7 linked regions of the Kluyveromyces lactis genome follow. Each later gene encodes a partner of the first gene's protein in a complex. Links are inferred from orthologs where the notes say so. Each region holds a gene or a part of one and is shown in the gene's direction. Other genes may lie near its edges.

Region 1 (3,971 bases):
AGACGAATCATGGGAGTCTAAATACTGCAATGAGATAAATTCTGAGTTGAAGCTTTGCAGACACGTTTCTTTGCTGAATCCAGTTGTTTATTGGTGTTTAATTTCGTGTTCAGAGTCCACAGTTTCCGTGGTATCTTTGTTAGAAGAGATAGATTTACTGTTGTTACAATATTTCGATAAGGACCAATTAACGAAGCAGAAGATAAATAATAACCTCGATCGATTATCGATGCTTTTCCATTGTATCCTTGATGCTGGGCAACCGGTGATAACAGACTCGAACCGTTTAAAGGCAATGGTCCCAAGTAGAAACGATTTATCGAAATTGTTGAAGACGACAACCAATACAATTACCAAGACCTTACAACAACCGGACGGGTCAATGTTTAAGAATGGTCCGGAAAAATCAAGGTTTAGTGGCAGTAGATATCCATCTTCATCCGCTTCATCCGTTTCCTCGTTCCACGTTGGGTCTCCTGGCTCCTCGTTAGTTGATCATTCCGTTGATGAATCTGGTGTCCCATGGAGAATGAGCGGCATCAACTATGCTAATAACGAAATATTCATCGATATGAGTGAGGAAATTAACGCTATTGTGGAAAAGGGGAAACTGTTAACCGGACATATCAAGGGTTGTATCGACTTAAACAACCATCTCAGCGGACAGCCATTGGTTGAGATGAAACTTGGGCTCTTAGACCACAAGCTTAGCCACTTAAACACGACTTTCCATAGATGCATCTTAGAGGATAAGGCGAACAGCATAAATGATTTAATCGCTGGGAAATTCACTAAGCTAACGTTTGTACCTCCTGATGGACGTACTAGGCTCTGTCAATATACCCTACCGTTGGTGAAAAGAGACTCAAACCTCGGCATTATAGACGTAAATTTACAAAGCAGTTTAGGTAAAAGACTTGACGAATTTGAGGTCCGCGTCACCGTTGGAATGAGCACGACGGTGAAAGAAATAGAAAACATGAGCATGACTATCAGGATGAATAGAAATTTTAAGGGAATAGTACGTGTCATGAGAAACACTCACGGCGGTGTCGAAACAAATATGACTCGTGGCGAAGTTAATTGGCATTTGGACAAAAACATGGTATGCGGTTCAATGGCTGTACTACGTTGTATAGCGGAACTGGAACCCGAACTCGCCTCCAATGACCAAACATCTAGTAGATCTTCGGTTGTTCAACCACCTAGTTCACACTTAACATCCTTACTACAACCTAGTTTCATCAAATGTTACTACGAACACAAATCCCAGCTTCCCTCCGGAATCAAACTTCAATCAATCGACGTAGTTAATGGAGGTCCAAAAAAACCGTTCAAAGGTGTTAAGTACCTCACAAAGACTGGTTCGCTAGAGTATAGGTGATGATACGTTAAATGGTTTATATATATGTATGTATGTATTTATGTATGTGTTTGGATCACGTGATATTTTTGTTTTATGTACTTTTCGAACGAGGAAAAAGTGTTCCAACTGATTAAAGACTTAAAAGGAATAAGTAGAGCCACCTTGGATAACAGATGTTTTAAAGTTTCTATGTATGCAATGCGGAGGGCAAGAGTGAATTCCAGAAGTTTCAGGGCTGTTCTATAGTGCCATTTTTACTGATCTCGACATAGAGCGGTTAATTTGGGCGATTTGCAGCTGATATTTGACGAATAATCGAGAAGAGGGGATCTTGAATCATAGCAATGAAGCGAGAAACGAGGGACCGTGGAAGGACGGACCTTGCACCAGAGAAGTATGTAGAGGACTCTGATCCAGAGCCTGAGGATGAAGGTGAGACTCGGTGTATTTGTGGGAAAATTGAACCGCCAGATGATTCGGGTCTTTATATTCAATGTGAACAATGCCATGTTTGGCAACATGGATATTGTGTGGGCATATCTGAGGAGGAAACTCCGGATAAGTATTGGTGCGAGCAGTGTAAACCAGAGCTACACTCGCTCTACACAACGGATCTTGGTGAGAAGAGGTCAATATACAAGCCAATTCAGCAACGCCGTAGGAAAAATAGAAGGTCGAAAAGAAACTCCGAATCGGATGGAGAAGTATCAAACGCTGGAAGTTCACTAGAGAACCAATCTCCTTCTAGCTCAGTGGTTAGTGGAAATATTGGATCTCAAAGATTATCTCGGCAAAGGAGAAATAGTAGTAATGTTGAATTATCGAAGGATGAAGGTGAAGATTCTATTGCGGACTCCGGAAATGGTGAAGATAAGGATGAAAATATTCCCAAGCGCGAGTTTGATCCAATTGATGAAAATCAAAAGGTTGCAGATCGTAAACGTGCTACATCCAGTGCCAGGGAAGAGAAACATTATCAACTTATGCTAGAGAAAGCCCTACGCGAAAGCAGACGCTCTTCAAAAGATGGCACCGATCCCGAAGACCAAGATATTTTGAAGGAAGAAGAGGCATCAGGGAAGTCCGCCTCACCAAAGAATTACACTAGAGATACGGAATCTCCAGAAGTGGAAGGATCTGAAGCTGATGAAGCAGCTAGTCAATCAAGAAAACGAGCTAGAACGACAACAAAATCTACATCGCCATCAGGTTCCGAAGATGACTCCAAATCAAAAAGATCAAGAAGAGGTAAGAGCAATGGTTCAACCACGCAAAGTAACTCAAGGATTTACAAGACCTCAAGTGGAAGAGTTGCAAGGAATTCTAAAGCTAGCAGCTCAAAAGGATCGGGTTCCTCTGGAAGTTCAAACTTGTCGAAATCTAATGGACAATCTAATGATATCGGAATCAACAAGCCTCTAAAACCCAGGATTCCCTCTCAGAGGACCACTATGCATGAAATGAGAAGAAGAGTTAACGCTATTCTGGAATTTATCTCAAGGACACAGTTAGAAATATCTAATGACCAACGTCAACGGGATCAGTTGTGCCAGTTTGTGGAAAACGAAGAATTCCTGGAAAATATTAATAAAATATTCTCCAGTTACGACGAATCCTTCAAAACGATGGATGAGCTAACGAGGAAATTACTGCTTTGGGAGCAAAAGTTTAGTCCAGCTTCTTAAAAGCATGATAGAGAGTGTTCTTTTCTTGTTTCATACATTTCCTTACCTAATTCTACATCTGAAGTACATACGTAAGTTCATAATAAGTCAACTGGTTTATCATTAACGGCGCAAACATCTGTTAAAAATTGCTCTGTAGAAATAATCGAGGTTCCTCCAATGATAACTCTGCAATTGTCCTTATTTTTACTCTGTTTCTCATTGAATTGATGTACTGCGCGCGCTTCTTCTATAGTGAGGCCTCCGACGATCAATATAACAACATCTTGTGGCATATATGTCTTAGGGTCAATATTTTGGTTTAAAAGAGTCACTCCCTCTTGTGGGAACTTGTTTTTATCCAAATCGCTGAGAAGTGTTGTCAATTCAGGAACATGTTGCATAAACACATTTTCAGCGCTGGTGCTGCCTAATCTGTTGAATTTCTTGGTTAATCCACTAATCAAATCATTGTCCTGAGGAGCTTTGTGTTTATTGAATATTGACCCAAATCTCTGTTTAAATTGAAAGTAAAGAGAAATTTGTGTGGGATCACACTGTTGTCTTAGAATATTCTCCAACTCAGAAACTCTAGATTCGTTCTTGCCGTGTCGTAGAACAAAAATGCAGCATAATTTTAATTTGTAATATGATTCTAAGGTTGGTAAGTTTAGAATTCTCTTCAGTTCTACAAAGTCATCGTTATTGTCATCATGTGAAGAGAGGTTTTGCTCTAGCTCACTGACTTCCCATATATTCTTCAGTTGTAATTGCCTATCTAATTCACTAACAATGGCCATATGTTTTGAAATGTTGCCTGAGAGTTTCTTAAATTCGGGGAACTTTTCGATGAACTCTTTAATATCTTCTATCGTATTGATTTGTTTGGTAATGTTGGTCTTATTTTTATACTGAGTAACATAGTTCTTCACCTTATCTGC
Region 2 (4,387 bases), about 100 kb from region 1:
TCAGGGAAGAAGCAACTTAACTTCAATTGTTCCAGGAAGAAGAACTTTTGGATTTCCAGTCCCGAGAAATGGAATCTATCATAATCCAACCCAATTTCACCAATGGCCCTGAAATGCTCGTTATCGGTCATTGCTTGGAGTTTCCACAAATCATACAATTCGTGCAATCTAGCTTTGGTAAACTGATGGTTTTCAATTGCAAACGGAAGATCCTCGCTTGAATCTGATTTCCGGTACGATTTTGAGTGTTTGGGCATGAATTCGTTAACCTGACACGGATGCACCCCGATGGTGTACATCATCTTTGGTCCATTTTCAGTTGCAAATTCACTACAAAGCTTAATGGAATGTCTCGATTCTTCCAGTGAAGATCCGGTAATCAGCAGCTTATCCACATTAGTCAATCTACAACGGTTCAATATATTGGATAAATCCGTCTCGTGCTGCTTCTTGCCATGGTATTTCCCTTTGAACATGTGATCAGAGATATTGAACCCAATGTCAAAGTACCTTATCTGTTTCAAACCTGTCATCTTCTGAAGTGCTCTGGACATATACAGTGTAGAAGCTGTTTCACAGTGATATACAATGGCCATAATGAACCGAAAATATGCCAAACAAACAGGAAGTCCTTTTATCGTTCTGAAGTGGGATGAGTTGCATATCCTCTTGCGCATCGTGAGATGGCTTGTACAGAATTTTCGAGTGTTACCCGGATGTAAGGTTAAGCTCCACTCTGTGACTCAAGTCCGCATGGAAACATTCACAGACCGTACATGCCACACGATGTCCAAAAATATCGTGTAATGGGTATCTTCCGAAGCCTATCCAATGGCCTACCAACGCACTTATCACCTCCCGGAGTGCATCCCCCTACCTCCCATAAGCTTATTTTGACACATTCTACACACTACTGCAATAGCTTTCCGAAGGCGTAGACTAACGCACCAGTCCCAAACCAACCGGGGAACCCCATTTGCAAGAAGTACACAGACGAAAAAAACAAAAAAAGACACGTGAACGGTAAGATACAGGACCCTCACTCAGTATACTCACATCACATCTCATCTCTTCTCATCTCACCTGTCACCTCATCTCATCGCTGTCACACTGAAAAAATTCGAAATTTTTTTTTTTTCCAACTCATCGCGACGAAGAAAAAGCCACTAAACTCGACCTCATCGAGTCTTGTCATTTAACTTGACACTCTTTGTTTCCTAGGCAGAAACCTGTCTTTATTGGTTCAGTACTCAGTCTGACCTCAGTGATATCGACTCAGAGCATAACTGTCAATACGTTAGTTTATTGTTAGCCGATTTTGGAAGGAATTTAAGGCGATTTTTTGTTGTTTAAAAAGAAAAATCGTTCATAAACTACTGTCGGTTTTATTTTGGACCGTTCAAAATTTTTATTCCCTCTCGTTGTGTTAATGAGAACAGGTCTTTGAGCTAGAGAATTAGAGCTATTAGAAAGCTGTTACTGTCGTTTTGATTACATTTCGAAAATTTTTGAGCTGAATTTTGGTTTTACTGCTCTAAATAGTGGATTTTGTTTTGGTTGCTGATACTTTACAATTATAACTCACAATATTTTTAAGTGAAAGGGTAGATGACTGCACCAAAAAACGTTTCCAGTAGGACTCCGAGTTCGTGGGAACCTCAGGACGATGTCTTGTTGCGACACTTGAAAGAGGTGAAAAGACTGGGATGGAAGGATATTGCTCAGTATTTTACGAATAGAACTCCTAACGCGTGCCAATTTCGGTGGAGAAGGTTAAAATCTGGCAGTTTAAAGACGGTGAAGTCGCCAGAGGAGGAGGATGAGGAGGAGGATGAGTTGTTAAATGTGACTGTTCCAGTACTTGCTCCAATGGCTGTTTCTGCAGGACCTACGTTGAGCGCGGAATCTTTAAACACTGGGTCCTCTTCGACGGCGAAGAAGAATACGGCAAAGAAGTCTAGTTCTACGGGACCGATGCCCATGCCCATGCCAATTCCGACCTCAAAAGTTACCAATAGTGCCGTTCTTTCGTCACCTCATGGGTTGAATGGTAGTGGGAGTGCTACTAATAATAACAATAGCAACATGGGTGTTTTTTCGTCATCTGCTGCTACAGCTGGATCTAGTGTCCTATCGGTAAACGGACTTGCACATTCCGGATCGTTGTCCAAGTCTCCGTTCTCTACTGCTTCTCCTGCTCCTCATGGGAAATTTATAAAGCCCAGGTCTTCCTCTCATTCACAGGACGCCCCACCAAATATGCCCCATTTCAATGATCAAGAGGAAAATTTTGGTTTTATTCCAAAAGTCTTCATCAAGAGTAGACGTGGTTCCGCGGTCGTTGTGAATAACACTCCACAATCGAACTTGCCAAACCTGGCCAGTACGAAATCAAGGAAAAATTCCTTCTCCTCGCGCTCCAGACGTTCCTCTTTCAACGTAGCATCCGACAGGCATTTCATCCCAATGTCTTCTAACGGATCTTCTAGAAGATCTTCCGTTGTTGTCATGCCTTCATCAACTTTGCCCGCATCTTCCGCGAATCCAAGGAGAGAAAGCTTCACGACGAATCCATCTATGTCTAGAAGGAACTCTGTCTCTCAGTTTAGACGTGAGTCTATGCAAGCAGGTTTCATTGATATGCCCATAAAACAAAGCTCTCAACCCCCTCCTTCATCCGTATGTGCCGTTGGATCATTCAATGGCTTTGCAAAACCTTGGTCTGGCGATGAGGATAAGTTGTTGGTAGAAAAACGTCAAAGGTACCACTTGTCCATTGATGAGCTTTCAATCTTGTTACCTCATAGATCAGAACAAGAGATCCAATGGAGAATGGATTCGTTACATATAACGCCTAGCGATGCAGTTAGTACTGCTAGTCCTTCCGCCAATGTTAATCAATCGAGTTCTTCAGATGAGGTCCACTCTACTTACTCACCAGATACTGCCGTAGAGGAGCATGACGACATTGACGATGTTGATGTTGATGTAGAGATTGTTGGCCGCATGGAAGACTCTATTGCCCCAACTCAGCTAAGAGATGAATCTCCTACGTTTTCTCAAACATCTTCGACTGGTTCTTCCGCTCGTGAGAGATCGCCAGTGTTTTCACCGGACGCTCATTCCTTGAGAGACCATTCTCCAACTATTTCTGATGTGAACAACTCATCTTTTTATGGCAATAGGATGCCTGCCAGCGTACCGAAGCAAATTCTTCAAACACAGGCTAGTAATGAACAAACGCCCCAGTTCACTCCGAATTCATCGCAATCTCCTCAACCACCACAAAACCATCGACTACCGCAAGTGCCAACTCAGCCACTGCCTAGTTTGAATACGATATTCAAGCACATTGTTTGATGATAAACTGTCTGTATTAATACCATTATCAAGAACCAAAAACTTAAAAAACTACTTTACAAACCACTTTCAGACATGTATGAACATGAACCCCGAAGTGTATCGTGGCGCCAGTCGCTGCTACTTCAATCATCATTGTCGTTGATTTACTATCACATAAACGCACACACTTTCCTGATTATGACCCCATTGTACAAGTACTATAACTACAATAGAACATCAATAATACTGTTACAGTGTTATCTTTATGCCAAATCATTTGAACTGTACCATATGGTTATTTTTTGTCATAATAATGTCCCTATTCAGTTTATTATAGCAAAGGGACACGGGCTGCTCCTTTTGCATAAACACTTAAATGAAAAGTGCGTACTATTACGTTGTTTTGTTATTTACATTTTACTGCTATATCAATGATGGCATTAATTTTCGCTATTCTTACAATCATATACATATATACATGCATATATTAGATATTACACTATTATCAGTTTTCTTCTCATAAACACATGTCATGGCCACGCATTACTATGATTAGGTTATCCTTTAATTAATATTCAAACTCTATTCCGTAAGACTCTCTGTGGTCTTTGCTGAACTTCATTTTCTACGGGATTGTGCTGTCTGAGTTTTCTTAGAGATCTACTGACCCTAGGAGTCGCTATTTCCTCTGGAGGCGGTGGCACTTGATCATCATCTTCATCATCATCTGAATACTCCTCAGCTTCTGCATCATCTAGCGAGAAACCTTCATCTTCTAAACCGTCTGCCTCTTCAAACTCTTCCTCAATTTCTTGCTCATCGCCATTTATATCATCGTGCATACCTCCGCTGATCAGTGTTTTGGCATCAGAAGCATCGCCAGAAGGTGTACCTTCATTGAGAGCTGGAATAGTCCCCCCGAGCTTCGTATTGAGTTGTTTGAATTCAGGTTTTATTTTGCTTGCCTTAATGATTTTTTCCTTGATATTGCTTGGAAGTGTATATGCTCGAACTAAAGATTTATCAGACAAGGATACAGGAATAG
Region 3 (4,223 bases), on another chromosome or scaffold:
ATATGGACATACACATTTCTATATGCTACCTACAACTAGCACTTATATGCTCATCAAAGAATCTGATGGTTTGAATACTATTGTGTAGTTCATGCTAGATATCACTCCGTTCAAGTCGTTAGTGAAAATCCGATCTTCAAGCACTAGCTGTAATGAGACACCATAGTAGGTACCCCATATAGGTCTTGGTTTATCCAGTGATCTACTATTAATCGATCCCTGACCTGGGCGGGACTGTGAATCCTGACTATTTGCTGGAACTGTGCTATCCTGGCCGTTCTTATCCTTCCCACTTTCGTCAAATCTAACTTTACAGTTCACATTGCATAGTAAGGTTCCGGTACCTGGTATCACATGGAAATCAACCGCGGTGATAACGTGCTGCGTCAGTACCACTCCAGTTTGCCATGCCTGAAGGAATTGCACTGCCTGTCCAAACGGTTGGGAATTGAATATTATTTTGCACTGATGTGGGTTAAATAGCTGTAGGAATTGTTCCAACTTTGCTGGATCGGGCTCATCTAGATGAGCCAGTACTTTCTTCACAAAAGTCTCCACGATTTGAGGTTGACGATTCATTTTGATAATATCAGTTGATGATGCTTTAAAGAGATTTGCTGATTTTTATTGAAGGCTTTGATAACGTTTACCTTAATACTATTAATTTCAACATCGATCAAAAATTTTATTATTAAATCTATGGAAAGAAGTCTTCTTCTCTCCAAATTTCATCTTGGGTAAATTCAATTGACTAGCTTCATCAAATGCGGGTAACAAACAATATATGTACGCGTTGTAATTTCCTTGATGATTTTAGGTAGACCCTGATTTCAAAATCTCTCAAATGAACACATGCAAACACAACTCTAAATGCTGATCGACTCGAGCAAATATCTAGCGTACATATTGTAGAGTCGGATTTTTCTTTTCCTTATGTCTCTTTTGCCAGCACTTTTGTCAAGCTGCCTCGCGCACTAGTATTCTTTTTTTTTTAAATTCTATTTTCTGCTTGCATATGTGAAGAAAGTGTAAACATGAAAAACCCAGCATCGAAATGTAAATCCATAATACCAGCCGAACAGATACCAAGACTTGGTGTGGAAAAATAAACATAAACAGAGATCTGAAAGCTAAGTGAACATCGCTGCGCGATTCCATTACATGATATATGATTTTGTAAACAATGGTTGACTAGTTTTGATCAATTTTATAGCCGGTAAGAGAAAAAGAAGTATATCTTTTGTCTTTCCCTTTAGTTTTGCAGGCATAGAACAAGTATGAATTCTTTTGCCAAATCGAAAAAAATTCGGTAAACCCTCTGCGGGTTTGGCGCAGGTATTCTTTGTTTACACTTTTTTCTGTTTCATCGATATATGGATTCCTACTAAGTTTGCGGGACTGAACTGATTGAAATTGGTTCAGTATCCCTAGAGTATATAAACCAGAATCCAAATCTGGGTTTCCATGGGACAATTCTTTCAGATCGATTGGAAAGATAATCCCCTTATTTTTACTGAATTAGGTATCGTGGTTGATATATGACAGTTCTAGCTAATCCTTATAAGGCCTGATATATTTCTTCACTCTTCAAACACTGGTCCTGACAACTGTGTTACACATCAATAATTTACTTCAATTAACACCGTAACTTGTTCCCCATTATAGAGCATCGAATCAGCTCATTTCCCATCGCTTCGACCTTTTCACTATTCAAGCTAACGATGTCCACTATTTCGAACCCTTTACCATTCACCAATCCTCACGCCGAGCAAAAGTTCTACGCAAGAAGAAAAAGATCCTTTGATGATCTATTATTGCCATCTTTAAGTACCAGTTTGAACGCCCCAATGACATTAGAAGAATCGCCATATTTCTTTGACGCCCGGAAAAAATCTAAAACGGCGCCAGCCTCACCTTCTGGATTCGTACAAATCACGCCTACTACATCACCAGTGTCCGCTTCATCTAATTCTTCCATATGGAGACAGACAGTATGTGAGGGAAGCAGCATTAGCAGCAACAGCAGTAACAATATTGGAAAATCAACTCAACTGCCTTCCTGTTCACAACTACAGAATGAGGTTGCGCAACCCTCGCAACCAGCACTACAACCATTAAAGCATCTAAAGTTATTGGCACATCCTAAAATACAAGAGTTTTCGTACCTCTATCCAGACACTTGTGCCTCCACGCCTCTATGGAGGCAAAACTTAACAGAGTGGTGTAAGGAAACTAATTACACTCAGTACCAAAACATTACAGATCAGGTATCTCAAGCTAATCCAAGAGCTGGTAATTTTACTCATGGATTAAATATTTTAGCCGATGCTGCTAGAATATCATCGATCAATACTTCACCAGATGAATTCTATCAACTTTCAAACACTTCAAGCTCCAGCAAAGTACTGGTAACCCCACCAAGTAGTCCTCCCAGACAATTCACTTCTATGATCAGCGAATCATTAGTTAAAGCGGTAAAGAAGAACCGTTCCTCAAAACATAAGAAGACCAACAGTTTTAAAGCAAGAAAACTGAAGAAGATGCTGGATCAACGCATATTGCTTACATATGAAGACAAATTCGAATCACAAAAGTCGGTATTTAAGGCTAATCCTGCACCACCAAAGACCCCTCCACAAAAGAAGATTACACTATCCACAACTCCAAAATCTCTTCAATCTCCCCAACAGAGATTTCATCCTATTGTGATCAACAGCGTGGAGGATTTCGGCGAAAAGACTTCGGCGAACTCCAACTCAGAAGACGACACCGACCAAGAGCTAGTCCAAACATCTCCCAAAAGCTCTCCAACACAAAGGCGTAACTCTCATAGATTTTGCGTTTCATGTCACATTACAGATTCCCCGTGTTGGAGACCTTCTTGGTCTAAAAGCAAACAAGATCAGCTTTGTAATTCTTGTGGGCTCCGTTATAAGAAGACCCATACAAGATGCACCAATGAAACTTGCCGTAAAATACCTTCAAAAGGTGAATTGACACTTATGAAATCAAACAAGCCAGTTTCGATTGAGGACGCTGACGGAAATACTGATTACAAAATAGCATGTTTGTTCTGCGGTCACGCCGTTGCTACTGACGAATAGGGCAGAAAAGCCTGATAAAAAAACCAACCTTCCTTGCATAATTAACTGATCCCAACTTTCAACGGAGCTTTTTACCTTCTAATATTGCATTTATAAATACTTACTTCTCTTTTCCCTTGTTTGTCCGGATAATATTTCCACTATTCCCTTTCCCTTCAATTCTAACTAATTTGATTAATATAATGATATAATCTAAACATATATTCTTCCTATAATTTATCTAATGTAGCGTAAATTAATATTTTCACACTTCTGATCTTTGAGCATCAATATCATAGGTTGATATTGATGACTGGCACTTAGTAGCTGCTTCAGACCTCTTCATAAAGTGAATGATTTTTTCTTTCTTTTCATTAATATGCCATTTACGTCAAGATCGATGTATGTTCGCTATCTGAAAATGAAAAAAAAAAAAAAAAAAAAAAAAAAAAACTTCATCAAAAATATAAATAACTGGAACCGTCAATATCTCATCACTTGCTTTCGTTTTGCTTTAATATCTGAGAAAGTACAGCCTAAGCACCTCATCAATACAGACAGTCATGAACTCCGTAGGACACATAGAGCGGCCAATATCTAATGATGTCACACAGGGCGTCTCATATAACCCAACTGTGGGATTGCCATTAAGTAAACAAGGCCAGTTACCACACCAACAGAGCCATCATAAAATCTTTGCTGCTTTGAAAGAGAAGATTGATTCTATAAATCATGAGACTTGCGATGCCGGAGATGAAAATTCATTCTTCGTTTGTGATTTAGGGGAGATAAGCAGATTGAGAAACTACTGGACTCAAATTCTTCCTCGAGTAACTCCATTTTATGCTGTCAAGTGTAATCCAAACATCGAAATAATAAAGAGATTGGCTTCAATGTCTACCAATTTCGATTGTGCTTCCAAATCCGAGATAGAGAAGGTGTTAGCATGTGGTGTCGATCCTGAAAGAATTATCTACGCAAACCCATGTAAGGCTTCTTCTTTCATCAGATTTGCTGCCAAGAATGGTGTTAAAAAATCTACGTTTGACAATATTGACGAATTGTATAAGATCAAAAAGTATCATCCAGAATCCGAATTGCTGTTAAGAATTGTTACTGACGATTCCAGTGCTCAATGTA
Region 4 (4,042 bases), about 1.5 Mb from region 1:
TGATTCATGTAGACTGCTTAAGTTTAACCTCCAACTCGAATACCTCCGACGCTACCAATAAAACTATCGGATATATTAGAGCTAAGATCGAGACTATTATATCATATGTTGAGAAAGTAGTCATTTTTTTATCTCACTTGGAGACCATACTGGAGGATGAACAAAATCAACAGGATAATACAAGCTCCAAAATGGCTCGTCAAATGAATGTCGAAATGGCAGACTTAATAGAAGAATACACCACAAAATATAAAGGAACAGTTTTCGTGGGGTCTACCAATGACATTGACAACATACCTGCTATAGTTAGGTCCAGAATAAAATTTGAAATTGATGTACCAGTGCCAACTGAAAAGCAAAGGTTACAAATGTTTCGATGGTATTTTGACCCGTATGTTTTGAACAGCCAAACTCCAAAACTGAGGTCACTAATATCGCATAATGTTCCATTGCAGACAGTATCTGTTCAATCGGCTGGTTTGACTCCAATGGATATACGATCAATCGTCAAAGCTGTCAAGTACAAATGTTACCAACGTCTAAAGCAGAACGACCTTCTAATTGATATGACCGATATAACTGCAGTCATAAATATTGCAAGAGATAGATTCTCAGACTCTATCGGAGCTCCTAAAATTCCTAACGTGACTTGGGATGATATTGGTGGGATGGATGTGGTCAAAGGAGAAATCATGGATACCATAGATATGCCACTCAAGCACCCTGAACTATTTTCATCTGGTATGAAAAAGAGAAGTGGTATTCTTTTCTATGGACCTCCTGGGACTGGTAAAACCTTGTTAGCGAAGGCAATTGCGTCTAACTTCTCTTTAAATTTTTTCAGTGTTAAAGGGCCTGAACTTCTTAACATGTACATTGGTGAATCCGAGGCAAATGTTAGACGTGTCTTCCAGAAAGCAAGAGATGCTAAGCCATGTGTCATTTTTTTCGATGAACTTGATTCCGTGGCACCAAAGAGAGGAAATCAGGGAGATTCTGGGGGTGTTATGGATCGTATTGTGTCTCAACTTTTGGCAGAACTAGACGGAATGAGTTCAGGAGGAGACGGAGTGTTCGTAATTGGAGCTACGAATAGGCCAGATCTTCTTGATGAAGCATTATTACGTCCCGGTAGGTTTGACAAGATGTTATATTTGGGGATATCAGATACCGATAAAAAACAGGCAAATATCATCAAGGCTTTGACGAGAAAGTTCACACTAGAATCTGGTATCGATATACTAGATATTGCCAAAAAATGTCCGTTCAACTATACAGGTGCAGATTTCTACGCATTGTGTTCTGATGCCCTTTTAAACGCTATGACTAGAGTTGCTGGTGAAGTTGATGAAAAGTGGGAGAAGTATAACATGGAAAATAAAAAGAATATATCATTGAGGTATTGGTTTGATAACGTGGCAAACGAGAATGACTTGAAGGTCGTGGTAAAATTACAAGACTTCGAGCTTGCTCAACAGAATCTAATACCAAGTGTTTCTGAGGATGAATTAAGACATTACTTGAGATTAAAGAGTAGTTTCGAATCTCAATGATCGTTAATAAGTAATCATATCGAATATTATTATAAATCATATATAACAAATATATTAACTCATCCATGCAGGATGATCTGGTCAGTAAAAAGTTGGTCTACTTCTTAATCTTCTTCAACTCGTGTAACATGACAGATCTCTTTAAGGCTTTTCTTCTTTCTTTAGCTGCTTGGAAATTCTATATTGATGGAGACGGTGAAAAATGAAGGTAGTGATTTCTATTAAAACCTTGATTTATGTCGAAAACATACCAAGAAAGCTATATAAACAAGAGGTGAAAAATTTGTACCGGCTCTCCAACTTAGCGAAACTATTAAGATTAATTGTGCGTGGACGGTATGGTATACGAAGCTAAACCTTTTGACCCGATAACGGTGAAGGCTAACGAGAAGAAGCGAGTTGCATACTTTTATGATGCTGATGTGGGAAACTATGCTTATGGTGCAGGACATCCTATGAAACCACATAGAATAAGAATGACACATTCGTTGATTATGAATTACGGTTTGTATAAGAAGATGGAAATTTACAGGGCTAAACCTGCAACGAAACAGGAGATGTGTCAGTTCCATACCGATGAATATATTGATTTCTTGTCTCGAGTCACTCCAGATAATTTAGATATGTTCCAAAAGGAGAGTGTGAAATTCAACGTTGGAGACGATTGTCCTGTGTTTGATGGTTTGTACGAGTACTGTAGTATATCTGGAGGTGGTTCTATGGAGGGTGCAGCCAGATTAAACCGAGGCAAATGTGATGTTGCCATTAACTATGCTGGTGGTTTACATCATGCCAAAAAATCGGAAGCTTCAGGGTTCTGTTACTTGAACGATATAGTGCTAGGTATCATCGAGTTGTTAAGGTACCATCCTCGTGTTCTTTATATTGATATTGATGTGCATCACGGTGATGGTGTAGAAGAAGCTTTTTATACTACGGATCGAGTTATGACATGTTCTTTCCATAAATATGGGGAATTCTTCCCAGGTACTGGTGAATTGAGAGATACTGGTGTCGGGAAAGGTAAATACTATGCTGTGAATGTCCCATTAAGGGACGGTATTGACGATGCCACTTACAAATCGGTATTTGAACCAGTCATAGGTAAAATTATGGAATGGTACCAACCTTCTGCCGTGGTACTCCAATGCGGTGGTGACTCTTTATCCGGCGATCGTTTAGGTTGTTTCAACCTTTCAATGAAGGGTCACGCAAACTGTGTCAACTACATGAAATCGTTCGGTGTTCCTCTCATGATTGTTGGTGGTGGTGGTTATACAATGCGAAACGTGGCTCGTACATGGGCTTTCGAAACGGGTATTCTGAATAATGTGATTTTGGATGAAGAACTTCCTTACAACGATTACTACGAATATTATGGCCCTGATTACAAATTGGATGTCAGACCATCTAATATGTATAACGTCAATACACCGGAGTATTTGGATAAAGTGCTACTTAATATTTTCAGCAATCTAGAGCATACTAAATATGCCCCAAGCGTTCAACTCAATCACGTTCCTCGCGATGCGGAGGACAAAGGTGACGCCGAAGAAGATACTGCAGCTGCGAAGGACACTAGAGGAGGTTCTCAGTATGCAAGAGACATAACCATTGAGAATGCAACCGAATTTTAGCCAGAAAACAAAAACAGATGATCTTTTATTATTTACTGTATTATAATATATTTACACTTAGAAGTACTCTTCCGCATTTGCTACAGGTTTTATCGTCACTCACCTAATCACTGTTATATGTCATTCATCCGACGGTTAATATGATGCTGAATATACAGATTGGTGCCCAAGTTAGAATTGATCTAATGAGGTCAATTTTCTATCGTGTTTTCCCTCCGTCAGTATCGGTATTTGCCATAATTTTCCACGTAATACTATTCCAGTTCAGATATGACTTACATCTGCACTTCGGTTGTCAGTAACAAATCTATATATGAAAAAGATCAAAAAATGAAAATCCAGAAGCGAATGGATATTTAAAAGTTAAGATCAGATAGGTCGATTACACAAGAATAAAGCTTATCCTATTTCATATAGAGATATATATTATCTGATAGTAGATACGTTGTATCTAAACATTCAAATCACAGTTAGTAAATTTTGCAATGGCTGTTAAAGGTTTGGGTCAATTGGATCAAGTTTATGATGGTTCTAACTTGAGAATTGGTATCGTTTACGCTCGTTGGAACAGAACAATTATCGATGCTTTGGTAGAAGGTGCCATTAAGAGACTTCAGTCCTTAGGTGTTAAGGAAGAAAACATTATTCTTGAATCCGTTCCAGGTTCTTTTGAACTACCATGGGGCGTTGAAAGGTTTGTTCAAAAAGAATTTGAAAAAGGTCATCGTTTAGATGCTGTTATCCCTATCGGTGTCTTGATCAAAGGCAGTACGATGCATTTTGAGTACATCTCAGACTCTACTACCAATGCTATTATGAGTCTTTCTAGTAAATTGAACACACCAGTCATTT
Region 5 (3,699 bases), about 900 kb from region 1:
ATCTAACGTAGACTGAGTATCCTGTGCATTATTATTGTGGCTATCATTGTTTTTTGTAGCATCTAAGAACATCTGATGAGAATTATTGAACCCAAATGATGCAGTGGAAGGAGTCGACAGCTCTGAATGAGTAGTATCAAAAGTACTTGTCACTGTACCTACAGTGGGTACAGGTCTGGAAGAGTTCGACGCGCTTTCAAACTGTTCAATTTTGATTCTTGGTGGAGTCACATTGGTATTATCGACTCTTATCCGTGGCATCGGTAAATCTTCCACCTGAGTATTATGATTAGATTGACCCGCCAGGTTAGTCAATTCTTGCAACTGGCTGAATTGACTATCAACATAATCAGGCAAAGGATCATTAACGTTGCCTGTCAATTCTTGTAATTCCGATAAATTTGAAATGTACTGGTACTCTTTGGAAACATCGGATAAGTCTGAATGAACGCTAAGCAACTCATCCACATCGCTATCCAGAGCAAGGTACCCAGTACTTGGTGAGATTGCATCTGATGGGTAAATATATGGTGAGTTAGATGCCGACGACACAGTATCCAAATTGTCAGTCTCATTAGTGGACAAGGCAGGGAACAAAAAAGATGGATCTGTGTTTGGTATATTCAATTCATGTGACACATATTTATTAGCATTTCTACCGTTGTTACGGTTGACGCTAGGTGGCTGCTGAAGCTGGGCGTTACTTTTCACACTGCGATTAAGCATATCGTGAGCCAGGACACCATTTATACTAAGACTAGGGATTGAAGGTGCGTTTTTGTTATTATCACCAGTTTCTTTCGAAAAGGAATTCGCGACACTGAACCCAAACTCCTTAAAACCTGACAGTATATCACCACCGAAGTCAGACAGCTTGACACCACATTTCCTACTATTATTCATCGCATTGAAACCAGGCGCAACCTTCGACCCTCGAGAATTGTCAGAATCTTCCGGATTTAACAGTACATTCGCACCGATGTCACTGGGACTATCGACATTCAAATAATCGTCAATATCCATACTGTTCTCTCAGTCAAAAAAAAAAACAACAAAAACAACTCGGAATACAAGTCTCAAAGTCAGGTAATATTATATCCAAAGGGGAAACCAATATGTTTTTCGAAAACTCTGTTCTCTGTTCTTTCTTTCCTATGAACTGGAAAGACTGAAAAGAAGAGCTTTATAAAATCGACACACTTATAACGTCGAAATTTAAAGTATTAGAATATTAGGGGTAGTTCAAAGCACCGCAAAATTCAGCGATTTATCTGTACTAATAACACACAACACTGATGTGTATCACAGGCTGCGTACCACTGTTTTATCTCTGAATTAGTCTCACTATTTCACTTCTATTCACCTAACAAAAAAAAAATCACATCGTCATTATATTATAACTTAACTTACTTTTTTTTTTTTTGGGAATTTTCCCTTTTCTTTACCAAAATTGCCAAAAGTTCAAAGCCTTTAAAAACTTTCAACACACTTAAAGCCTGCACTTATACCGGCCAGCTTTAAGCTTTTCTTATCTGAAGCTGCGACTTTTCTGCGGGGAAATGAGATGGAAAACGGAACATAAAAAATTTAAAAAAGAAAATGGTGATACTTGCAATGAATAAATCAGTGTTATGGGAGCATTGAGGTTCGAACGGCAGAAGCATGGCATTTTCTTGTTTGTCTCATTTGATTATTATTATTTTTTTTTTTTTTTTTTTAAATCAGAGCAGCTTAAGCAGTTGTACTTTGTACATACTTTATACATAATTTGTACATAATTTGTACCCAGCTCATACGTTGCACGATACATGTAACGAGCAGCACATTAACTCGTTGTGTTAACGTTTTCAATTGTAATTTTTTATTCTGTGTTAGTAATTTCACAGGATAATTGGTAAGAAACGATACCGGAGAGTTTTTCTGGTTTCACTTTAACAATTATATCAGCTTTTGCAGTAAATACAGCTTCTCCCCCCGAGGAACATGGATGAAGTACAATATTCTATGATGAGCAGCGGTGTGAAGAAAGGTCAAGGAGCGAAACAGAATGGGGGTGCTATTCCCGCAGGTGTTGGGCAGGATTTGAGTAGGAAGGATAAGAAGCGATTACAGTTTGAAGGGAAAGTGGGAAAGATAAGAACGTCGTTTGCAAAGGATAAAGATGTGCATTATAGGGATAGGTTGACTCTGTTACAGACAGATTTAACGACGCTGCATCAGGGGAATAACCCTGAATTTCTGAGGAAATTGAGGGATCTTGAAGAAGATAGGGATTTGGAATTAGTTAGGCTCAGGCTTTTCGAAGAGTACCGGATTTACAGGTCCAAAGTAGAGTTCCAAGAAGATATTGAAAAAGCCAAGCAAGAACATGAAAGGATGATCAAATTGTGCAAAGAGATGTTGTATGAATCCCTACAGAAAACTATCAAGAAATTGCAAGAGGAACGGCTACTTCTGGATGTAGCAAACACACAGTCTTATTCGATGGATTATTCTCGAGGGAAATTCCAGAAGCAGACTAGAAGCTCAACTCAAAATTCAGCCAATTTTTCGGCTTGGGATTCGTCACCGAACGATGTCAGCCAAACAGAAAGTGGCAATGAGACTGGTAATACTACCGATAGGAGGTCATTGCGTAGGCGTGCTGCTACTAATCAGAATAGAGCTCAAACTCCTGCAAACATTACACCTGCAAACGGAAGCGGGAAATCAAGCAATACTAATAGCGATGCAGAGTCGATGCAATATCTGAGCGATTCATCAGAATTACAGGCTTTATTGTTCGGAAAGGAAAAGGAAAAGGAAAAGAAGATGGGTCGAGGTCACCAAAGACTTTCGACAAAAAGCGCTCCTATTCTTCAATCTTTAACTCCGGATGAGGTTACTGATGATATATCTTTGATAAGAAAGCTAACGGGCCAAGTACCAGCCCCATTCAAATGAATATCAATAGTTGGATTTATCTTGTAAATCTGGTCTGGGGTACAAGTGAAGAAACTAAAATGTTACCAGTTTTTTTTTTCTGTCATCCAATATTTCCCAAACTGCTTAGGTCCCAAATACTATCCGTTATTGTCAGTCTTATACCTTGTATTTTTAGTGTATCTCATGTGTAATACTACTACTTTATAATACTGCGTATTTTTTAATGTATGCACAAAAAAGTGAACAGAATCTGAATTTTGATATTTCAGTTATCTATTGACGATGATTTATGCGCAATACGCGATCCATTTATAAACATAAACTCAACAGTCGATTAAAGTACCAAGAATATTAGTATAAAACCTCATTCTTTCATCTTCAACTATTGGGACGTACACATTCATCTTTTCCACTTTTTTTTGCATGATTACTGATAGTTTCCATCTTATCTCATGAGGAATAGAACCAGAAAGCTACTGATAGTGATAACAATTGCACTTCTAATTTGTGTTGGTGTACACCATATTGTGCGAACGGAAGAAGCTGCAATATGGGAAGATGCTGTAGTCTACTCCTCAGCGGATCGCGCCTCTAAGAAGGAACATCCCTTCTTTGAAGGGTGTGTGGATACTGCAGAATATCTAAATCACAAAAAATATGAACGACAGAATGCCACATTTGTGATGTTAACAAGAAACGAGGAGCTGGATGGGGTAATTCACACTATGAGATCTGTGGAAAGAAGATTCAATCAATGGTTCCAATATCCGTACG
Region 6 (5,187 bases), on another chromosome or scaffold:
TCTATTTTGAACGCTGTTGAAGAAGGTAGAAGAATGAGTGATAATATCCAAAAATTCGTCTTACAACTTTTGGCAGAGAATGTGGCACAAGCTTTATACTTGATGGTTGGTTTATGTTTCGTTGATAAAGAAGGTTTCTCTGTGTTCCCATTGTCACCTGTCGAAGTGTTGTGGATTATTGTCGTTACCTCATGTTTCCCAGCTATGGGTCTTGGTTTAGAGAAGGCCAGTGTTGACGTTATGGAAAAGCCACCAAAGGATGCCAAGGCTGTTGTTTTCACCTGGGAAGTCATTATTGATATGCTTGTATACGGTGTCATCATGGCAGCATGTTGTATGGCATGTTTCGTTACCGTGCTCTATGGTACCGGTGATGGTAACTTGGGTTCTGACTGTAACGATGCACTTGGTGAAACGTGTCACTTGGTTTTCAGAGGCCGTGCTGCAGCATTTGCAACAATGACTTGGTGTGCATTGATTTTAGCCTGGGAAGTTGTCGACATGAGAAGATCATTCTTCATGATGAACCCTGAAAGTGAAACACCATACACTCAAGTGTTCAAGGACATCTGGAGCAATCAATTCTTGTTTTGGTCCATTGTTGGTGGGTTCTGTTCCGTGTTCCCAGTGGTTTATATCCCAGTAATCAACGACAAAGTGTTCTTACATTACAATATCAGTTACGAATGGGGATTCGCAATCGGATTTAGTTTCGCATTCTGGGCAGGCGTTGAATTATACAAATATGGTAAGAGACATTACTTCGGCATCAAGGACAGAGTCGACAATCCAGAAAATGATTTAGAAAAGAGAGCAGTGCACGATCCGTTCGAACAATACACTACTTCCTTCTCCAGAATGAATACTTTTCACAACGACGAGAAGACTATCTGAAAGTTGAAAAGATGCAGGAATAAGCGGTGCTTTTTAATTATTTTTAATCTACAACTTATCTGGAACAAATGTATATTAGCAAATCCATATGATAAGTATCATCAATAATTTAATTTTTATAAATACCATACTACATTAACAAAAGTAGTTTATCTCACTTTAGATCGATTTTACTCTAGTTTCCCGTCAAAACTCTTTATATTTGGCCTGAATCGATTAAGACTTTGGGCCCAAAAGTTACTAAGCCGGAACAACTGATTATGACCGGGTAATACATGGTCTTTACTCTTTTCAAATCTTTTTCTCCCTTTCCAGCGTGTAAAATAGTTTCAAGACAATTTTCGTCAAGCGATACGCCCAATGGATAAGAAAAGTCAAAAACAGTCAAAAATTATTCCCACGGGTAATTAAAGAAACCCACCATCTTAGCGGGCTACATATGTAATCAGCTACTGTATAACAGCAGTGCACCTTACAAACTTCAGATATCCTACTAAAAACAAAAAACCGAGAAGCAAAGCAAGGTCAATGAGCTTGCTTAGATGGCTAGTACCATTGCCGTTCCCTTTTTTCTTCCCTTTTCTCCCTTCTGATTCGTTTTCTGCGCTTGTTTTCCTGTAGTTTTTCGCTCAAAAAAAGGCAAAAAAACGCCTAATTGAATCTCGTTCGAAAATCACATCCAAGGCGTTGTTTATTTATTTATATAAATCGAATTTTACAAATGTTTGATTTCTCTTACTTGTTTTAGTTTATTGTAATATACTCTACTTTATTTTTTTATTCTTTATGAATGCTTACATTCATTGAAACCGCGATCCTCTATGAATTGACAGGCTTCTGGTTCAATCTCTCTTACTAATTACGAACCCGCTCATTCCGTAGCTCCTGGCTTAATACCTGATTGTGTTTAGTTTCAAGAGTCTTATAAGGGGGTGAGGAGAGAATCGGTTTTTTTTTAACTCAAGAGTAACACAAACTCTTGGCGCTAAGCGCTGGCCTGAAACTTAGACTGAAGTTTTCTTCAAATATAAAAGAACCTTCGGAATAGATGGTTCGTCAGAAAAGTCAAATTGAGCGGCGTGCTGTGAACTCTGTTCGTTTATCCTCCTCTTCTCCGTTATCTTCCAAAATGCATGTGCCGGAGAAAAGTACCCCGCCAAGTTACCCTGACGAACATTCAAAAACAAACGCCGCCCAAGTGGAGCTAACCGCCCAGCGGGAAGTGACCAAAATTGATGAAAAACAAGAAAACGAAAAACAACAACGAGTGAAAACAGGTGAAAAACAAACGCTGCTGCGACATACACCAAGGCTCAACCCCTTGATACATTTAGCGATGTCTCCTACTGCTGCTCCGAATAATACGCCTGTGGAGGAAAACGATCTACAACAGGGTGTTATCTCTCCTTCACGTGGAGAGCCTTCCGGGATTCCAGGGACAAAGCCTCAAACCGAGGTTTTGCCGCCACTTCCTCGTTACGGAGAGACTAAGCAAGAGGAAAAGGAGGTTGCCGTGAAATTTGAGAAAAAAACGGGTACCCAAGACTTTGATCACGTGGTTTCGGCTGATAAACAACATGTTCCAAAAATAAATACGCGTACACCATCTATCTGTATATCCAGTAGCAATACGCTGCCGAACACTGGGAAAGGGAGTAGCACCTTATATCAAGACTCGCGCACTCCCGTGTATTTGTTCAACGATAGGATAGACTCTGGTCAAGTGAGTGAAACAGAAACACTTCACGATTCAAGAAAGGGCGAGGAAATTCAAGCTGATACTGGTAGTCATCAAAATGAACGCATGCTGCGACAAAGCGGACATAGACTCGAAGGCAAAAAGGGCAATGGCAGAAACATTGGTAATCCTGGAACTGTTTCACATGACGGTGCGAGCGGTATTGCTGCGCCTTCATCTTCGCCGATCCTTGAGACCTCGAGCGCTTCCCGTGATAGAGATCTGCATGCCACAGGAAGCGCCATGACTCCAAAAAGACTACATTTTGATTGTTCCACAGAGAAAATAGATCCGGGTGCAGGCATCTCATCAATTTCAGCTCAAAAGATCAATATTACTTCATTACTAAACTCGAGATCGACAGCAGAATCAATCTCGCCCCCTCCATCTACGGCAGGAAATGAATACACTATTCATTTCCCATCCTCAGCAGCGTCAAATCCTCCTCACTCCACAGGATCCTTCCTACATCCAAAATATCAAAATCAAAACCCGCAGGTCTCATCTACCATGAATAGAATTGTTTCTCCAACCTATATGTTCGAAACCGATCAGGTTCATGGTCCTTTCAGTAATTCTAGTAGTGGCAGTAATAGTAGTGGCAGTAATAACGGTAGCACAGCAAACAGTAATAACAATAATACACATATTACCTACCAACCGAAGTATTTCAACACAAAATTCGATGAGTTAAGGAATAGAGTGTTATTAGGATCCTCAAACGCTTTTCCGAAAGTAGAGTCGGCTAACAAGTATCCATATAATAGCACAATGGTCAACCCAACTTTGAATGATCAAGATTCCAACGTGGATGCGGAAGCTGCCGCAATCATTTCTCAGATGAGGTCTTCCCCATTACCCCCATTTAACGAACAGTTCGGCTCTGGCAATCATGATAGCCGACCGAATTCGTCATTATCAAACCAATCTCTCCAAAATAATGCCTTTAATCCGTTCTCCAAAAGACTTTTACCTAAGCCAGTGCTTCGGGTTAACCAACGACCATTGACTGGCAACCAGGATGAACTCGTTATAATGGAAGAAGAGGATGATGATGATGACGGGTATGGCGATGGTGATTACGAAATGACCGAAGGGGGATCAAAGGCACCAGAAACTGTTGCATGGAATAAGAATGGAAAAAGAAGATTGTCCAGAAGAAGATCAGGCCCACCACATTATCAATCTCAATTGACAGGAATTAAAAATGAGATTGGAGACCATCCAGATACTACGGCATACCCCGCTGCGGATATCTCGGAAAATGGTATGCATATAAAAAGATCAAGGTCTTCATCATTATCTACTGAACACACTGGATTATTGTCACCGAATTCCAAACATGCCAAACAACTGAAGTTTAAAGAATCTAATTACAATAATGATGTTTCTAACGAGCAAATGGTCAAATCAAGTGATCAAATAAAGAAAAGAAATGCTACGGGGGCACGGTCAAGAACTGGCTGCTGGATCTGTAGATTGCGTAAGAAGAAATGTACAGAAGAGAAACCGCAATGCCAGAACTGCGTGAGGTTGCACCTCGAATGCTTTTACGACATAGTAAAACCCGATTTTATTTCAGATCCTGCTAAAAAGGCAGCAAAACTCGAAGAAATTAAAAAGAAAACAAAAGAAGCTAAGAGACAAGCAATGAAAAAGAAGACTTGGTTATAATCAAAGAGACAATCATCTCTAAATTCTTCTCAGACACACATCTGTATCATCAGGTGTTCTCAGTTTTTTTACAATAATGGACAACCCCTCAAAACTCTATAGATACCATTTTTGACTGAACTTTTATGATTATGTTCACCTCCCAATATATAATATACTCAGATATATTTGCTGTAATAAATGTGTAGACTGACTTTAATATACAATGTATGAATTGTACGTATTTTAAGCACAAAGCTTAGGGAATAGTATGGAAATGATTTCAAAAGACAACGTAGTTCAATATTTAAACTTTATGCTGCTTTCAAAGGAGGATTGAGATGATATGAGGATCAACAAAATAAAATAAGATAAAATAAAAGAACATACAAAATATAGACACATACATTACAACCAAAATTTGGAATAATTAAGATAAAATTTAAAAAAGTGTCGTTTCAGTAACTAAGGAATAGAGAAAAACAAGGCGTTAAAAATAATTATATGTGAATCACTTCAGTACATGAAAGGTAAACACATTTTTCAATCCGAGAACTATTATTTTGCGCTATGAATAAAAGAAAAAGTTGAATTGATCATCAGCCTTTTCAGCCATTGAAGGCAAACGATCCCCTGCAATGGAGACATTGTTATTGGGAAAGAATTGAGAGTCCCTTCTGATATTAGTTGAATTCTGAGGATGGTTTTCTTGATTTTGCAAGTTGTCAAATTGTGGTGAGAACGAAGTGAATGGATTATGGAATTGGGCATATTGGGAGCCCATATATGTTCTCTGTTGAGCTTGTTCGTACAGACCAGCGGAGTTGTTCGCCTGGGATGACATAACAACACTGTCCCTGGCAAATATACTTATTTGAGAATCATGCGAAGCGTTCTGTAAA
Region 7 (3,118 bases), about 680 kb from region 1:
ATATAGACAGGACATAAGTTGGTCTGCTTTTTAAGGTTCAGTCTTTGCGAAATCCGATGTTGAAAACATGTTTAAAGGCAAATCTGGGAATTTTTTTTGGGGGCAGCCCGAAAACGGGGTTGTGGGAGCCCCCAAAACAATAGTTTTTCCGGCAACTCAATTTCCATGATTTTCCGATAGAAAGAGTCCCAGGTGATTCAAAAAGTATACCTTTGGAACATATTGGTGAATTGGGACAATTAAGGCAATTGCTATGGAATTAGGGTTCCAGTCTGCTATCAGGTGAGTGGTAATTGGGCTTGGTTTTGTGGGGCAAGAATGGTTCCATGTCTTGTCGATGCACATTGCCATGTGTCTACTATGGTGGATGCTGTAGGATGCGATAAGATCAGAAGCAATTTGGACCTGGCCCTTGCCGGAACGGCAAGTGATGTCCAACGGTGTGTCATGAGCACGAATGTGTACGACTGGGAATTACTGGAGCCCCTGCTGCTAATGAAACAACTGGATGATGAAGGTCCCGGAATCAATGTTAGTCTTGGTGTGCATCCCTGGTATTGCCATTTATATCAGTTAGATAGGTCGCTTTCTAAGGTAGGGCATTATAGGAATTGTCTTAAATGTAAAGACGAGGTACAGTTGATGGAATTGGTAGAGCAATTGCCGGATCCAGTAGATTTGTCAAGTTACTTGTCAGATGAGCGGGTTTCTCGTGTGGGTTGTATTGGCGAGATCGGATTGGACAAGGTTTTTCGGTTGCCTCAGAATGGCTTTCTCGTGAGCAATAATGGGACATCGTTGGAAAGAAGTAGTTTAAGCAATGTAAGGGTAGAGTTTGCACATCAGATCCAGGTATTTGAAACGTTATTAAAAGTTGCAAAGGGAAGGGGGTTGCCGGTTTCGATCCATTCTGTGAAATGTCAAGGTACTACTTTTGATATTTGCAAGAGAATATTATTGGATAGCGAGGTGAACATATGTTTGCACTCGTTTACTGGGACATTGGATACGGTGCGGCTATGGCTGGCGAATTTCCCACATGAACGGCTTTTCTTTAGCGTTTCGTGTTGGATCAACTTGAAAGACTGGGATTCTGGTGCTGAGCTGTTGAAGAGTTTGCCCTTGCAGTGTATTTTGACAGAGACAGATTGTTCTGTGGATTCAGTGTCGTCGCAAGAGCAACGACAGATGCTAGATTCCGTTCTTGACGCCATTTCAAGAGCTCACGGCATTTCCAGGACTAAGGCGATGGACACGGTATTACAAAACTTCAATAGATTCTTACGTAAATGAGATGAGACGCAGGGACTGCATGTATGTTCTTTGTTTAATGTAGTCATCCTCTATATCTAATTCCAAGTTATTCCCACTTATCTAAGAAAAAAAAGTGTCTTAAGTACAAAATTTTGATCTTTTTGAACATTTGTCCAGGTGGTAAAGGGCATTACCATGTACTGCTCCATACCATCTCAGGTGTCAAATAGAGTGGGTGCTGTACAGTCACAAGGATCTTACACGACATGGCACCAAGGGGACACAATAACTCAAATTCAGAGTCCGAATCTAAGGGCAAATCATCGAACAATGCAACTTCAGGTGCATCGACCAGGACCAGTGTGAAACAAAGACTCTCGAGTGCTCAACAGCAATACTTGAAGGACTTGAACAAGAAACATATACATAACAATCATCCGAAGAATGAGCCGCTCCCAAATCCGATGGATTTCGAACAATACTCCGATGAATTTTTAAGGCGGTATAAGGATAGGTTCCAATTGAAATCTCCAGATAATCTATCAATACAAGGGTACCTTCTAGGATCAAGGATTGGGAAACATACTTACTCGGCGAAACGAAACCAGAAAAATGTACCAGATGCAAGGGTTACGAAGCAGGAGCTTGCGAAAGGTGTCAGGGAACACTTCGATAACTATACCGTTCGAGAAGCGGAATGCCTTCCTCAGTTTATTTACAAAGTACAAAATCAGAAAAAGAAGTTCAGAATGGAGTTTAAGGGATGAAGCGGTGGTGTTGCATAGCTCACTTCCATCTTGGGCATGTAATTCGACATCAGCCTAATGGCTTCATCTATTTGTAACATATATGAATAATATAGAACGTAATAATCAAGGATATCAACGGAAATCTATTTGGAACTAGCGTTCTATACGCTGATTATATGCACTGCAGTGAAAAGGACAGATTGCACAGCAAGCTGTACACACGTCCTTCTGCTCTTTAACATTTTTTTCCTTTACAGGTCGTTTACACAATTTTTCTCTTTAATAAGAAATGAATGATATTAATTATCATTCACAAGTAAAAACTGTAACAAGACAAGTATTTGCTCCATAACCAGGCATACTGTGTTTTCCTGTCTCCAGAATAATTAATATCACAGCAATATATTGAGAGCAGACAGAAATTATTGTGTTAGATAGAGTATCTGAATTAAAACTTTAATCATGGCGGATCAAAGTTTCACATTATTTATCATTTTGGCTATTGCCGGTTATATTGCTGTGAAATGGTTTTTGAGCAATAACGAACAACATCCATCCATCCAAATCAATGGTTTTTCTTCGCAATCAGACTCTGCCACGGCTTCAGGTACCGCCGCGTCAAGTAATGCCGCTTCAAGACAGACTAGAAGGCGTATTCGTCGTAGAGTCAACGATGATATGATCGAAGTGGTACAATCCTTGGCTCCACATCTACATCCAGAACAGATCAGATACGACTTGGAACAAACCGGATCAGTTGAAACTACTGTAGAAAGATATCTCTCGGGTAGAGATATGCCATTCCCACCAGATTACGTCCCAGAATCTGAAACAGGTGGCAATTCTTCCAATGGTCAAAATCAATCGACCGGAAGCTCTGTAACTACAGGAAACAATACAAACAACAATAGCACATCTACAGATCCACGGAAAAGATCCAACATTAAAGCTGACAATCTGCTAAAAAAATTCAACGTGGATCCACAAGAAGATCTTTCAAACTTGAATCCCAACGATCTTTCCATAGAAGAAAGAAAGAGATTAATGGTATGGCAGGCAAGAAAGAGTATGGAACTAAAGGTGGAAAACAGTGAATACCTACAGTCTCTACTGAA

What was found.
Region 2: CTI6 (region 1) and KLLA0_E19933g share a complex: the UniProt entries of both Saccharomyces cerevisiae proteins name them as parts of the RPD3C(L) complex. The link is inferred for Kluyveromyces lactis from reciprocal best matches to the Saccharomyces cerevisiae genes CTI6 and DOT6.
Region 3: CTI6 (region 1) and ASH1 share a complex: the UniProt entries of both Saccharomyces cerevisiae proteins name them as parts of the RPD3C(L) complex. The link is inferred for Kluyveromyces lactis from reciprocal best matches to the Saccharomyces cerevisiae genes CTI6 and ASH1.
Region 4: CTI6 (region 1) and RPD3 share a complex: the UniProt entries of both Saccharomyces cerevisiae proteins name them as parts of the RPD3C(L) complex. The link is inferred for Kluyveromyces lactis from reciprocal best matches to the Saccharomyces cerevisiae genes CTI6 and RPD3.
Region 5: CTI6 (region 1) and SDS3 share a complex: the UniProt entries of both Saccharomyces cerevisiae proteins name them as parts of the RPD3C(L) complex. The link is inferred for Kluyveromyces lactis from reciprocal best matches to the Saccharomyces cerevisiae genes CTI6 and SDS3.
Region 6: CTI6 (region 1) and UME6 share a complex: the UniProt entries of both Saccharomyces cerevisiae proteins name them as parts of the RPD3C(L) complex. The link is inferred for Kluyveromyces lactis from reciprocal best matches to the Saccharomyces cerevisiae genes CTI6 and UME6.
Region 7: CTI6 (region 1) and SAP30 share a complex: the UniProt entries of both Saccharomyces cerevisiae proteins name them as parts of the RPD3C(L) complex. The link is inferred for Kluyveromyces lactis from reciprocal best matches to the Saccharomyces cerevisiae genes CTI6 and SAP30.

The regions. Positions count from the first base shown.
Region 1 is NC_006041.1:1,669,213-1,673,183, forward strand, and holds CTI6 (Cti6p), read left to right. Parts: upstream 1-1,710; coding exon 1,711-3,051; downstream 3,052-3,971. Other genes in the region: APM3 (Apm3p), read left to right, coding at 1-1,384; VPS45 (Vps45p), read right to left, coding at 3,129-3,971. UniProt on the Saccharomyces cerevisiae protein: Component of the RPD3C(L) histone deacetylase complex (HDAC). Responsible for the deacetylation of lysine residues on the N-terminal part of the core histones (H2A, H2B, H3 and H4).
Region 2 is NC_006041.1:1,773,507-1,777,893, reverse strand, and holds KLLA0_E19933g (SANT/Myb-like DNA-binding domain-containing protein), read left to right. Parts: upstream 1-1,608; coding exon 1,609-3,360; downstream 3,361-4,387. Other genes in the region: KLLA0_E19955g (3'-5'-exodeoxyribonuclease), read right to left, coding at 1-677; SAS3 (histone acetyltransferase), read right to left, coding at 3,918-4,387. UniProt on the Saccharomyces cerevisiae protein: Component of the RPD3 histone deacetylase complex RPD3C(L) responsible for the deacetylation of lysine residues on the N-terminal part of the core histones (H2A, H2B, H3 and H4).
Region 3 is NC_006038.1:231,832-236,054, forward strand, and holds ASH1 (DNA-binding transcription repressor ASH1), read left to right. Parts: upstream 1-1,721; coding exon 1,722-3,104; downstream 3,105-4,223. Other genes in the region: MTR2 (Mtr2p), read right to left, coding at 43-579; ornithine decarboxylase SPE1, read left to right, coding at 3,647-4,223. UniProt on the Saccharomyces cerevisiae protein: Component of the RPD3C(L) histone deacetylase complex (HDAC). Responsible for the deacetylation of lysine residues on the N-terminal part of the core histones (H2A, H2B, H3 and H4).
Region 4 is NC_006041.1:185,325-189,366, reverse strand, and holds RPD3 (histone deacetylase RPD3), read left to right. Parts: upstream 1-1,891; coding exon 1,892-3,190; downstream 3,191-4,042. Other genes in the region: PEX6 (AAA family ATPase peroxin 6), read left to right, coding at 1-1,553; lumazine synthase RIB4, read left to right, coding at 3,676-4,042. UniProt on the Saccharomyces cerevisiae protein: Catalytic component of the RPD3 histone deacetylase (HDAC) complexes RPD3C(L) and RPD3C(S) responsible for the deacetylation of lysine residues on the N-terminal part of the core histones (H2A, H2B, H3 and H4).
Region 5 is NC_006041.1:774,329-778,027, reverse strand, and holds SDS3 (Sds3p), read left to right. Parts: upstream 1-1,983; coding exon 1,984-2,943; downstream 2,944-3,699. Other genes in the region: DNA-binding transcription factor CRZ1, read right to left, coding at 1-1,023; KTR5 (putative mannosyltransferase), read left to right, coding at 3,378-3,699. UniProt on the Saccharomyces cerevisiae protein: Component of the RPD3C(L) histone deacetylase complex (HDAC) responsible for the deacetylation of lysine residues on the N-terminal part of the core histones (H2A, H2B, H3 and H4).
Region 6 is NC_006042.1:1,922,206-1,927,392, forward strand, and holds UME6 (DNA-binding transcriptional regulator UME6), read left to right. Parts: upstream 1-1,942; coding exon 1,943-4,306; downstream 4,307-5,187. Other genes in the region: KLLA0_F20658g (uncharacterized protein), read left to right, coding at 1-894; EBS1 (Ebs1p), read right to left, coding at 4,854-5,187. UniProt on the Saccharomyces cerevisiae protein: Component of the RPD3C(L) histone deacetylase complex (HDAC) responsible for the deacetylation of lysine residues on the N-terminal part of the core histones (H2A, H2B, H3 and H4).
Region 7 is NC_006041.1:985,526-988,643, reverse strand, and holds SAP30 (Sap30p), read left to right. Parts: upstream 1-1,520; coding exon 1,521-2,021; downstream 2,022-3,118. Other genes in the region: KLLA0_E11243g (putative endodeoxyribonuclease), read left to right, coding at 319-1,293; CUE1 (Cue1p), read left to right, coding at 2,466-3,118. UniProt on the Saccharomyces cerevisiae protein: Component of the RPD3C(L) histone deacetylase complex (HDAC) responsible for the deacetylation of lysine residues on the N-terminal part of the core histones (H2A, H2B, H3 and H4).